Linked DNA regions of Sus scrofa. The protein of the gene in region 2 interacts with the protein of the main gene of each other region in a pairwise test. Links are inferred from orthologs where the notes say so. Each region holds a gene or a part of one and is shown on either strand. Other genes may lie near its edges. The genes, in order: GNMT, ARRB1 and MAPK9.

Region 1 (4,096 bases), on a different chromosome or scaffold from region 2:
CTGAAAAAAGCATAGACTATATTGTTTTCCTTTCCATCTGTTTGAACCCGAATCCCTGCCCCCAGCTGCAGCCCACCCCTTCCCACACCCCCGGATCTGCACTGGGGGTTGGGCTCCGTGTGGGGCTTCTGGTCCCCTCCTCCACAGACGGAGCCTGGCAGCGCCTGGGCAGAGGGCAGTGGGAGCTGAGGCCTCACTCAGTCCGTCTTCCTGAGCACGTGGATGAAATAGCAGGGAATGTAGGCCTGGCCCGGCTTGTAAGGCTTGAAATCTCCTAGGACACTGTGCTGGCACTTGCCCCCGAAGGCTGTTTGTAGCAGCTCCGTAAAGGATGCCAGACAGTGAGGGTAGTAGGAGAGCCGGAACTTACTGCAACAGAGCCCCCGACCAACCATCAGGACTGGTGTGTCAGCGCCCCCTGCCCAAGCCCCTGCCTCGCCAGTGTACCTCAAGCCAGGAGAACCTCTGTGGCCAGTCCCCGGCACCTGCACCGTGTAATCGAGGGTCACCATGTGAGCCTTGTTGTTCACTGTCAGCACAGATGTCGTGATGTCCTTGATCAGGTCACTCTGCAGGTGGGAGTGCCAGCTGTGTTAGCTTCTGCAACTCTGGTGGGGCCCAGAGAGCCCACCTCCCACTCTGGGCCCTCCCTCCCTCAGGGGCCCCACCTTATAGTAGATGTTCTTTCCTGGGGGTGCACAGCCTGTGCTGAGGATGTGGTCGTAGTTTCGATGATCAATGACCAGCAAGCCCCCTGACCGCACCATGCTTGTGATGTTTTTCAGGGCCAGCCGGTGCTCACTCTGGTCCCCTGAACTCCAGGAAGGGTAGAGAGGCTGCGTCTGCTCAGGGCCCGGGCACCAGTCTCCCTCCCATCTTTCTCCTTCCCCCTGCGTCTGGAAAGGGTATGGTTCAAAGCAGGGTCTACGCCCAAGGCCACACCCTCTCACCTCTGCAGTCTGGCAAGTGGGCAAAACTGTTTCCAAGGCAGATGACAGCATCGAAGCCACCCATTGGTGACTTGGGCACATCTTTGTCTAGAGTCATCCAGTTGGCTTCTTCAATGACTGGGGGCCAGGAAAGGGAAGAGGGAACAGGCTGGTACCACAGTACAAGCAGCACCCGTGTCCACCAAGTGCAGTCTTGCCTCTCTTTCCCCTTCTAGATACACACAGGGCCTCCCCAGGGGAGGGGATCCCGAGGGAGGGGATCATCATGGACATGGAGGGTGAAGGAGAAGAGGGGTCAGGGGAATAGGAAGCTGTGGTGGGGAAGGAGGGCCCTGTGCTTATGGGTTTCTTTTGGGGGAGAAGGATAAGATACTATAAAGGTAATTAAAACTAGCATAGTCAATACCTCGTTCTTGTGCCTAAGCCTCCCTTTTTAGGGATTTTACTGTCCCCCTTGAGGAAAACAAAACCCCCCACCACAGGAGCTAAAGGAGCCAGAGCAGAGAGAACAGTGTCCTTGGTGGCTGGGCCGAGGGGACCTGGCTGGAGCTGCCTACCCCACTTGTCGAAAGCAGGCTCATGCCGCCGGTTCCAGCGCTCTTTAAGTGCATACTTGAGCATCTTGTCACTGGCATCCACACTTGTCACACTGAAGCCTTCTTCCACTAGCATGATGGAGTCCACCCTGGGCAGGACCAGAATCCCAACAGGCAGAGAGGGGTGGTCAGGGAAGGCAAGGAGGAGGCCCTGTGCCGGACACTTCTGTCTCCTCAGGTCCTCAGAGTCCATTTTTCTGCCTGTCCCCAGGCTCTCTCCACTGACCTCAGTGACCTGGCATATCTGATTCTCATCATCAGGTAGCACCCTTTTTGTGTTTTAGCACCTATTCCAAGTCAGGCATTCTACAAATGCACATGAATCCTCATTGCAGTCCGGTAAGGTAGATGGTCTTATCCCCATTCGAGAGATGGGGCAAGCTGAGGCTTCTGGATGTTAAGTAACTTGAGCACAGGAGGCAGTGTAACATGGGGGTTTAGAGCACAGGCCAGACCCTAACCCATCTGGGTTTGCATCTCCTCTCCACCTTTATCTCTCTGAGGCCAAATTCCTACAACGGTAAACAGCTATCACTACCCACCTCATGGGGTTTTGTGAGGATTTTAAAACCTCATGTATCAAAAGCACCTGGTACAGTGCTTTGGCAGGGGCACATGTTAAACAAGCGTTAACTGTTAACGCTGCCGGAGGCCATCATACCGGGGAATGACCCTGGAATGACCCTGGAGCCGGGTTCCAAGCCCCAAAGCCTGGGTCCTTGCGCCGCCCCAGCGAGATCGCCTTCTCCACCCACAGTGCCCACACCCTCGCTCTCACCCTGGGTCTCCTCGGCCCCCTCCTGCCGTCGGCCTCGCCCTGCTCCTCGTTCTGCCTGGGTAAACACTCATTCCTGGCCCCTGGCGTCGCGCCCCTGCCTGGCTCTAGGTCGGCAGCGGCGGAGGAGGCTGCCCGACGTGCCCCGCTGTGGTACTGCGGTCGGGCGACCCCGGCCGGAGCAGACCCCGTCCCCCGTCGCCTGTGTCCTCCCGGCTCCTCTTTCCCCCTGGCCCCCGGATGCCTGCTCATCCCAGGTCCCTGGCTTCCGTCCGGGCTCACCCGGTACCACAGGCCACGTCGAGGACTCGCTGGCAGCCGTGCTGTCGCAGCAGTCCGAGCAGCCAAGCCTTGTACTCAGCCGTGCGGCTGCGGGTGTCTCCGATGTACAGCTGCCACACGCGCGCCGCCTCTCCGTCCGCGTACTGGTCCGGGAGCCCTTCAGCCGCCACCCCCAGGGAGCGGGTCCGGTACACGCTGTCCACCATCCTGCGAGGCGCCTGGCTCCGCAGCCACCCGCTCTGCATTTATAATACGCCCCTGCCGGCGGCCCCACCTGCCCAATGGGAGGTGAGAGCGGGGACACGCCCCTGCTGGGCCCTGGGCCCGCAGCCGCGGCTGCCCGGGTAGGCACGCTGGGAGGGCGCTGCCTGGCAATCCTAGACCAGCCCTTCCCGCCTGCCTGAGGATCCTGCCCTGTGGATGATCCCTCGGCGCAAAAGGACCTTCCCAACCCCTGCCCACTTAAGCCAGGTCCCAGGGGAACCTAGGAGGGGTCAGAAGGGGGAGCTGGGGAGTTCCCGTCGTGGCGCAGTGGTTAATGAATCCGACTAGGAACCATGAGGTTGCGGGTTAGGTCCCTGCCCTTGCTCAGTGGGTTGAAGATCCGGCGTTGCCGTGAGCTGTGGTGTAGGTTGCAGACACGGCTTGGATCCCGCGTGGCTGTGGCTCTGGCGTAGGCCTGTGGCTACAGCTCTGATTCGACCCCTAGCCTGGGAACCTCCATAAGCCGCGGGAGCGGCCCAAGAAATAGCAAAAAGACAAAAACAAAAACAAAAACAAAAAACAGAAGCGGGAGCTGGAAAGAAACTTCACAGTCCACAATGAGTGCCCAGGGCAAAACCGTCCCTACTGGGGGGGGAGGTGGGGAGGTAGGGTGGGGGTTATTAGCATATATAAAGAAGGGCTGCCCCGCCCAAAGAGGGCCTGGTCAGCCAGCGAAGGGAGGGATGGGAGTATCTGGGGATGATGCTGGCTTGGCCATCCAAGTCTAGGAGCAGTTCTGGCCCAAGGGGTCATCCCACCCATCTGGGGGCAGGTGCTCCTCTGTCCTGTAGCTGATGCATCAAGCTTTTCCCTGAGCCACTTGAGATGGAGTCTGATTCCAGTTCCTCTCTAACCAAGCACCCCACTAATGGCTGCTTTCCACAGAGGTGCCCACAGACTGGGCAGTCCAGAGTGAGGGGTGGAAGTGCTTGCTCTTGCTCTTATATCGCTCATTATCACCTCATAAATTGGTCATTTGGTTTGGTTAGTGTCAGCCACCCTCCTCCCCAAAACAGGTCTCTTCCTGGACAAGACCCTGGACTGAGATTCAGGAAGGTGGTGCCACCCAGGGAAGCCCAAGACAGCAAGAACAGCCTTCCTCACCTATCTTTTGGCTTCAGAAAGTGCCGAGGTATGGAATTTAGAACAAAGGAACCTCCCATCCGCTGCCCCTTTTACCATCAATAGAATCCTGGAGCTGGGGAAACCCCAAAGATAGGTCATCATTC
Region 2 (4,259 bases):
AAGGTACTCTGTCCTGGGTCCCACATGAGGCCGGCCTCTCCCCACAGGCACAAATAGACATTGGGAGGATTGACGGCTCACAGAAAAGCAGCAGAATCAGAAAATAGGATTCAACAGGCTGTACAGTCCCTAATAGAGCACGTTTGTTTTAGGCACGTTCTCTGAAATAGTGGATTGGGACCATTTAAAAATTTGCAGCCTGACAAATTTTCAGTTCACCTGAAACAGAGTTTGACTAAATAATGCTGACTTTTTTTGTATCAGCCCGCAGAAGCTGGTCTCCTGCAGTGACAAACAAACCCCAGATCCTAGTGCTTTAAGAACTTACTTCCTCTCTCAGGCTGCCCCATCTCCCGATCATCCAGCCGGAGAGCATCTCTGGGCTTTAAGTCTCTGGAGGCCCCCCCATCCAGATCACTGCTGGTTTCAGGGAAAGAGGAAAGGGGGTGTGGTAGGAGGAAGAATGCTTCCTCCTCCCCAGCAACATCTACATCCTAATTCTTGGAACCTTTGAAACTCTCGTATCACATGGCAGAGGGGAATTACATTGCAGATAGAATTAAGGTTGCTAAAATCAGTTGATCTTAAAATAGAGAGCTGTAGGTACTCATATGGGTCTTTAAAAGTGGAAGAAGGAGGCAAGAGGAGGTCAGAGCAGTCCCATGTGATAAGAACCACTTCTTTGTTTGTTTTTAATATTTTTAGGGCCGCACCTGTGGCATATGGAGGTTCCCAGACTAGGGGTCCAATCAGAGCTACAGCTGCCAGCCTACACTACAGGCACAGCAATGCCAGATCTGAGCCTCGTCTGTGACCTACACCACAGCTCACGGCAATGCCGGGTCTTTAACCCACTGAGTGAGGCCAGGGGTCGAACCTGCGTCCTCATGCATGCTAGTCAGATTTGTTTCCGCTGAGCCCCGACAGACACGCCAAGAACCCAACTTCTCATTGCTGGCTTTGAAGATGGAGGAAGAGACCTGGAGACATGGAATGTGGGTGGAAAGGGCACAGAACCAGATTTCCCCCTGGAGCCTCCAGACAGGAATGTAGGAATGCCCACATCTTGATTTTAACCTAGTGAGGTACATTTTGAACGTACTGAGAGAGTAATTTAAGCTGGTTTAAGCCACTAAGTTGTGATCTTTGTTACAGCCTCTGTAGAAAACTCATAGAAATGGCATGGGATATCACGCAGCCCTGAATTGCTTCTGCCCGGAAGTGGCATATGGCGGGTCTGCTCATATTTCCTTGGCCAGAGCAAGCTGCATAGGCATGTCTAAGTTCATAGGACTAGAAAAACTTGATGCATCCATCTGCCCAGCCTTCGAGGGGAGTGGAATGTTGGTAAATATAATATCTACTATATCCTTGCTAGCTGCTCCTTATGCTTATGTCTTCTGCTCTCTTCCACTAAAAAACAGCGCCACCACCAAAGAGCTGATGGCAAGTCTATAGGTTGATTTCATTGTCAACTAATGGGTCGTGGCCCCTGGTTTGAAAAACACTGCTGAACAGACCCTCCTCTGCCCAGGCCTCATGGACCCCATGACACACCCTGGGCATAGCTGATTGGCCCAGGCATGGGACACCTGACCGGAGCTGACCAATCCCGTTCCTCTCCTGGGAATTTGGAATTGGGCCATTCAACCAGTTAACAGTGGGAAGCTGAGCAGAGGCAGAATAGAAACAGGGTCGGAGTGAGAACCACACGCAAGCCCAAACGATGGAGGAGCAGAAAAGCCCTGAGTAAGCAGAGAGAGTTGGTCCACAGAGGCAATGGAGCAGCCACACCGAGAGCAGTGCAGCCTGGAGAACATGCAGCCCCAGGGGGAGAGGTGGAGAGAGAGAGCGGCCGCCTAAGAGGCTGATGGCTTCCCTGTTCCTGGCTCCAGCCCCCGTGCGTCCTGGCTACATATCCTTCCCGTGAGATTTTTGCCTCCTTATCATACCCCCTCCTTCTTTTCTTGATGGGTTTCTGTTCCTTGTCTCCAGTGAGTCTTAATCAGCTAGAACTCTACCAGTATTTCTTGTATGGGGCCCGGCTTTGGCTTGAGGATCAGGCTTGGAGGGCACAGATGGGACTCGGGGGTGAAGCAAACCCAGCCATCCCACGGTCTAGAAATTTGGCTCTGACCTCAGTCTTGCATGATTGTGCCTGCTCTTCAGCGGGGACTGGCAGAAGCTGTCTATGAATGAGGTGTCGCACAGGTAGGGGTCCCGGTGAACTGGATGCACCCTTACAGGAGCCTTCTTCTGACAGCCCTGGGGTCAGGAAGCCACTGGAGTTGTTTTGGGGATGGTGTGGCTGTGGGACAGAGTGGAAAGGATGTGAGCTCGGGAGAAGGCAGCCACAGTTCACCTCTTTGAGCCTCAGTTTTCTCATCTCTGAAATGGGATTGTTGAAGCATCAACCCCAGTGCTGGAAAAACACTTAGAGACCTGACAAGGGCGTACAAGGCTGGAGGGCACGGGCAGCTGCTGCTGCTGCTGTTCGAGGAAGCCGCCAGCCAGCGACCAGCTTCCTGCGGAGGTGGCCCCGGGGGCTGATTGACTTGGCAGAGGTCCGTCCCCACCCCTGGGCCGGCTGTGCCTCCTGCCTCTCCTCACCCTCACGCTCCTTCTCACCCCTTAATCACCCTTTCTTCCTCCTTTCCTCCCGCCTCCTGCCCTCACTTGCCCTCTTTTCTGTTATTCTTGATGTTGATAAAAACACCTGCTTTGGGAAAGCGCAGCAGGGTTGGATGTAAAAGCCCAGCCTCTGGAGGCAGACAGACAGAACTGGGTCTGAATCCTGACTTATTAGCCCCTTGGTTGCTGTGTATTCCTGGGCAAATCACCACATCTCTCTGAATGTCAAGTTCACTGTCTATAAAGTGAGGGTTCTAATGCCCATTTCACAGTGCTGTGATGAGAAAGAACTCACTGGGCACTCAACCAATGCTAGTTCTAGTTCCTTCTTTTTTAAAATGTTAGTTCCTTCTTCTCTTTTTCCCTCCCCGACTGTCACTCCTCTCAGCTGGCCTCCGGCTGCCTCCCGTGGTCAGGGTCCCCCTAGTCCCTCTCAGAGGTCCCTGGAATAGCTTCTCCTGACTCAGTTACTTGTGGCCTTGGGCTTTTGTGGCCTCTCTTTCCCTCAGACCCGAGGCTCCAGAGAGGTAGGCAGGCTTCTGGAAGCCTCAGAGGCCCTGTGGTCTGTTCCTTCTCTGGTCTCCTCTGCAGGTCCAGCCTTAGCTTGGGAGCTGCTGGTTCGAGTCATATGATCTGTAATTTTTTTCTCAGTTTAGCAATTATTATACCCCAGCTGACTGTGGCATCTTTACACTCCAAACACGGATAAATATTTATGAGGAGGAGACAAGCCCAGAACTCCTCAGAGAGTTGGGGGTGGGGTGAGGAAGGTGATAAGTCCCTGTTTGCCAGCCAAGCTCAGACCCATCAGTGGTCCCTGGGGCCCCCAAATTAAGGGGTGGGGGTGATGGGGGGGCTATGGAGGCAGCACAGGACCAGCACCCCTGTCCCCTCTGGGGAGACCAGCTGTCAATGTGACACTGTGGGCCTCACCCTGCCTTGTTGTGCTGGATGCTGCTGGGCCTCCTGCTCCTCCAGGTTTTGAGCTGCCTGGATCCTCTCAGCACACGTGAGCTCTGTCGCTCTGTGTCTGCCCATCTCTTTCTGTTTGTAACACTTTCTCTCTCCCTCTCTTTTTGGTTTATTATTTATTTATTTATTTATTTTTGTCTTTTAGGGCCACACCCGTGGCATATGGAGTTCCCAGGCTAGGGGTTGAATCAGAGCTGCAGCCCCTCCGGCCTACGCCACAGCCACAGCAACGCAGGATCTGAGCTGCGTCTGCGACCTACACCACAGCTCACGGCAATGCCGGATCCTTAACCCACTGAGCGAGGCCAGGGTTCGAACCTGTGTCCATGTGGATGCTGGTCAGGTTCGTTAACCACTGAGCCATGATGGGAACTCCTCTTTTTGGTTTGTTTAATCATCACTCATTCCATCTTTCATGACCCCTCCAGGGCAGTGTCCCTCCCCGCTCCCTCCCTCCTCCAACACTGTCTCTTGTTTCTGGGGCTCTGTCTCTCCCTTTCTTCTGTCTCCCAGCACTGCTCTGAGCAGTTCCGGGCTGGATGTTGGGGAATAGGTGAGGGGCCTCAGGCTCCAGGGGACCTCAGCTTGCTCCAGAAGGCAGAGGGAGCACTTCGCGGGAGTCAGGGACCACACACGCCTCTGCCTGGTTCCGCAGC
Region 3 (3,617 bases), on a different chromosome or scaffold from region 2:
GAAAAGCATTATGAGCACAGGTAGCCAAAATGTGACCATCGTAACTCCATTTCTGCAATGACACTTCAATACTCAGTATTTCAGTGAGTTTTGAATAGTTTCCATATTGAAAGTCTGAAAGTATCAATTTCAGGTGAGCAGTTTTAAGTCAGAAAATATTCAATAGTTAATCATTACTCTTTAGGGCATTTCCTCCATATCCTTCAGATGGGTTTTCCCAGAACATTCATGGATTTCCCTTAGGAAAAGGAAATGCCGCCATAAAGTGGAAAACAACCACAAACAGGCATTCTGAATTGGCGTGCTTCCTCAAACAGACCAAAGGGGGATTTGTGTGGTTTCTTTCAGAAAAGAAAGAAAATCGAGTAAGCATGCGGTGTTGGAAGAGGGAAACTCTGCCTTGTGAAATCACGGATCTTACCTTGAGCGATGGAAGGTAAGAGAGGACCCAGTCCAGGCTCAGGCAAAGCATGCACTTAGTAAGTGGCTGCAATCATCTTTAGTGATCACTTCGTAAAATTTTTCTCTACCAGCAGTTGATGGGTTCAAGAATGTGTATGCCATCATATTGAGATGGGGTGTTAGGTGACTAATAAAGAAGGCGAAGTTCTAGTATAGCATTTTAAATTAAATATGAAGTTCAGAAGACAAAGAAAAAAGAGATAGGGTACATAGGAATTAAAGGTATATGATATTTTAAGCAGCACAAAACAAAACTTAAAACTTTATCATGCAGTAAAGCTGAATGTACAGTCACCCAGACTAAGACAATTTAGAGAAAACAAAGTGTCCTGGTTTTAGCAGTGGTAATTCTCAGCCCAAATGTGACAAATTTAGGAAAAGTTATATTTTTTAATTTATTTAACAGATTTACTTATATTCCTTCTGAAATATGAAAGAAAATAACTCATACCCTAAAGGAAGGTAAGATACAATAATATGATGGCAGCCAATTAATATACATAAATCTATTTTTTCTGGACAGACACCAAATTACTTAAAAGGATTAAGAGACAATTCTAGAAGCAGCACTACCTAGAAGATTATTTGGCTTTTAAATACTGTTTTTCAAAGTGCTAGAGGGCAAGTCCAAGCAGGCATTTGCGGTCACATGCATATAAGTCCCAACAATTACTGAAGATGAGAAATTGTCACTACTATTACCATACAACTTAAAAAAAAAATCTATTCTAATTGCTCACCTGAAATGACCTTGAACAAAATCTCTAGAAGTGTGGTTTGCACTTTTTTTTTTCTTCAGACATAATCTGCTTCATTTTATAATCTAAGCAAGGCAAGCCTAGTACAACTGAGTAGGGGCAAGGCATCGTGTTTCTTACATGCAGAACATGGAGTTTTTCTATTTGGTTCCATCAACTCCCAGGCATTTCAGGCCCACGGAAGCAAGAGTTCCTTCACTGATGACAAGCTTGCTATTTCTAACTTATCATCGACAACCTTCAAGGGGTCCCGTTGAGGCATCCAGACTGCTGTCTGTGTCTGAGGCCAGGGTCTGCTCAGTGGACATGGATGAAATGTCATTGATAGATGACGACTGAGAAGGAGTGGCGTTGCTACTTACTGCTGCATCTGTGCTAAGAAAACCAAATATAATAAAATCTGAGGCACGACATTGTTGCAAATCCAGGCAGTGAGACTTCAGGCCATTTCTCAGCTTTTTCCTTTTGTAGCTTCCTGTACTAACTATTAGTATAAACAAGAAATTAGTTGACTGTACATTTTGAACCTTTCCTGGAGTCTTTCTTTAGGCTCAAAATCCCAAATATTCCTGTCTTCCCTTGCAACATTTCTTTTCTTCCCAATGGCTAGTCATCATATATGTACTTGTGTATAATCATGTTAACTGCTTAGAAAATATCTGCTGGTTTTAAAAAGATATTTTTTAAAAAACTGCTGAATTTATCCTAAAACTAAAAAAAAAATCTCAAAAAGTTTAATCCCAAATAGGATTCAAGTGTCATCAGACATTTCAATTATAATCATAAACAGTCCAAGGAAAAAAGTATCAACCTTTGCAGAATTCTTTTACAATAAAAATACCTTCCAAAATAAGAACTGCATACAAACAAAAAAAGGAAAAAAATTATAAAGAACACTGTTCATTTTATTTTTGCTTTTTAAATTCCCAAAGGCAAATGAAACCATCCCATTTCTTACTATCTATATTTTAGTCTGGTTTTAGCAAAAATAAAACATCCAGACTCTCAGAGGTCAGTCTTAAATTTGTGCTTTGTTAACAAAAAGCACCTAAATTCACATTATATTCATATACTCTCTAGACACTCGACACACATGTCATGAATAAGAAGTGCAATTTGTATTTATGTGTGTCTATGTGTGCGCACATTTCCCGGTAGGAGTGGAATAATAAAATAAATATAAAGAGTTTTGTTTAAGGTCAAACTCTACAAGACACAAGTTAACACCACATATATTATGTCTCTAGTAATCACACAATTATCTAACGGTTAGAATTCTACCACTAAGTAGATCAAGTAGAAAGATGGGAGAATTATATGAACGATCTTCTCGAAAGAAAAGTAAATTCCATTTTATCTAGATTCACGTTGATATTCTTTTTAACTGGTTAGGACCAGTACAAAGAGGGTCATACACATTGAAAAAGCTTTAAGAAGCTCCCTTGTGGTGCAATGGGTTAAGGATCTGGTGTTGTCACTGAAGCGGCTCAGGCTGCTGCTGTGGTGTGGGTTTGATCCTTGGCCTGGGAACTTCCACATGTCATGGGCATGCCCCCACCCTCCAAAGAGGGTTTAAATTCAATTTCCTTATAAACAAAACTGACAACAGTGTTACAAAGATGAACAAGCATGTTCTTAACACAGTTCACTGCCTGGCCCATCAGTAAAATATTCACTGCCATCACTGGGACAAACCAAAAAGGGGAAGACTATTTCACAGAAAAAATTTTCAAACCCAATATTGGTCAAGCTGGCACTTAACACACTGCTTCTTATAAAAACTAAATAGGGAAAGAAAAATAATATACAATCAAACTATTAAAGCAATCACTAACCTGAAGGTTGATCTTTTACAACACCATTCTTGTTTCTTTCTTCCCAATCCATTACTTCTTTGTAAATTAGCTCTTAAAATAGAAATGCAAGTTAAAACAGCTTCACCAGTTTCCTTGCATCTCTAAATCCTGCTTCCAAATCACACAGAACCACTCCAAGGGCACCGCGATGTATTAGACAAGTAATTTAGTAATATAGTTTACCTAGACTAAAACATTGATATTTGATCCATTACATCTTTTCAACCAACTGTTAAGCCAAAATGTAGGGTGGTTCTGGATCCACAAGGGGGGTTTACAAAGAGAAGCAAGCGTGGGGGCTGGGGACAGGGGAGAAAAGAGAGGGAGGGAAAGTATGAGCAAAGTGGCTCAAACAGGACAGTTTAGAGTATCAGATGTTCTCACACCTGTCTGCACATGTTTTTCTCCATCATTACTTGTGGTTCTCCAAACGTAACCCCTTCAAGGACGGCTGTGGCTCTTTCCTGGGATGTGGAAGCCGGTGGCAAAAATATCCGGGAGTATTCCAACTGAAGGTTGACATCCTGCTTGGGTCATTAGC

Evidence for each region.
Region 1: the proteins of ARRB1 (region 2) and GNMT interact in binary tests that used the Homo sapiens proteins (3 or more experiments, as listed by UniProt). The link is inferred for Sus scrofa from reciprocal best matches to the Homo sapiens genes ARRB1 and GNMT.
Region 3: the proteins of ARRB1 (region 2) and MAPK9 interact in binary tests that used the Homo sapiens proteins (3 or more experiments, as listed by UniProt). The link is inferred for Sus scrofa from reciprocal best matches to the Homo sapiens genes ARRB1 and MAPK9.

Annotation. Positions count from the first base shown.
Region 1 is NC_010449.5:38,037,115-38,041,210, reverse strand, and holds the start of GNMT (glycine N-methyltransferase), read right to left. Parts: upstream 2,853-4,096; 5' UTR 2,810-2,852; coding exon 2,604-2,809; intron 1,636-2,603; coding exon 1,508-1,635; intron 1,360-1,507; exon of another isoform or gene 1,068-1,359; coding exon 951-1,067; exon of another isoform or gene 812-950; coding exon 669-811; intron 570-668; coding exon 448-569; intron 370-447; coding exon 198-369; 3' UTR 1-197. UniProt on the Homo sapiens protein: Catalyzes the methylation of glycine by using S-adenosylmethionine (AdoMet) to form N-methylglycine (sarcosine) with the concomitant production of S-adenosylhomocysteine (AdoHcy), a reaction regulated by the binding of 5-methyltetrahydrofolate.
Region 2 is NC_010451.4:9,547,397-9,551,655, reverse strand, and holds the start of ARRB1 (beta-arrestin-1), read left to right. Parts: upstream 1-1,457; 5' UTR 1,458-1,870; coding exon 1,871-1,926; intron 1,927-1,974; exon of another isoform or gene 1,975-2,191; coding exon of another isoform or gene 2,192-2,211; intron 2,212-4,259. UniProt on the Homo sapiens protein: Functions in regulating agonist-mediated G-protein coupled receptor (GPCR) signaling by mediating both receptor desensitization and resensitization processes.
Region 3 is NC_010444.4:78,393,867-78,397,483, reverse strand, and holds part of MAPK9 (mitogen-activated protein kinase 9), read right to left. Parts: intron 3,128-3,617; coding exon 3,056-3,127; intron 1,596-3,055; coding exon of another isoform or gene 1,591-1,595; coding exon 1,448-1,590; 3' UTR 1-1,447. UniProt on the Homo sapiens protein: Serine/threonine-protein kinase involved in various processes such as cell proliferation, differentiation, migration, transformation and programmed cell death.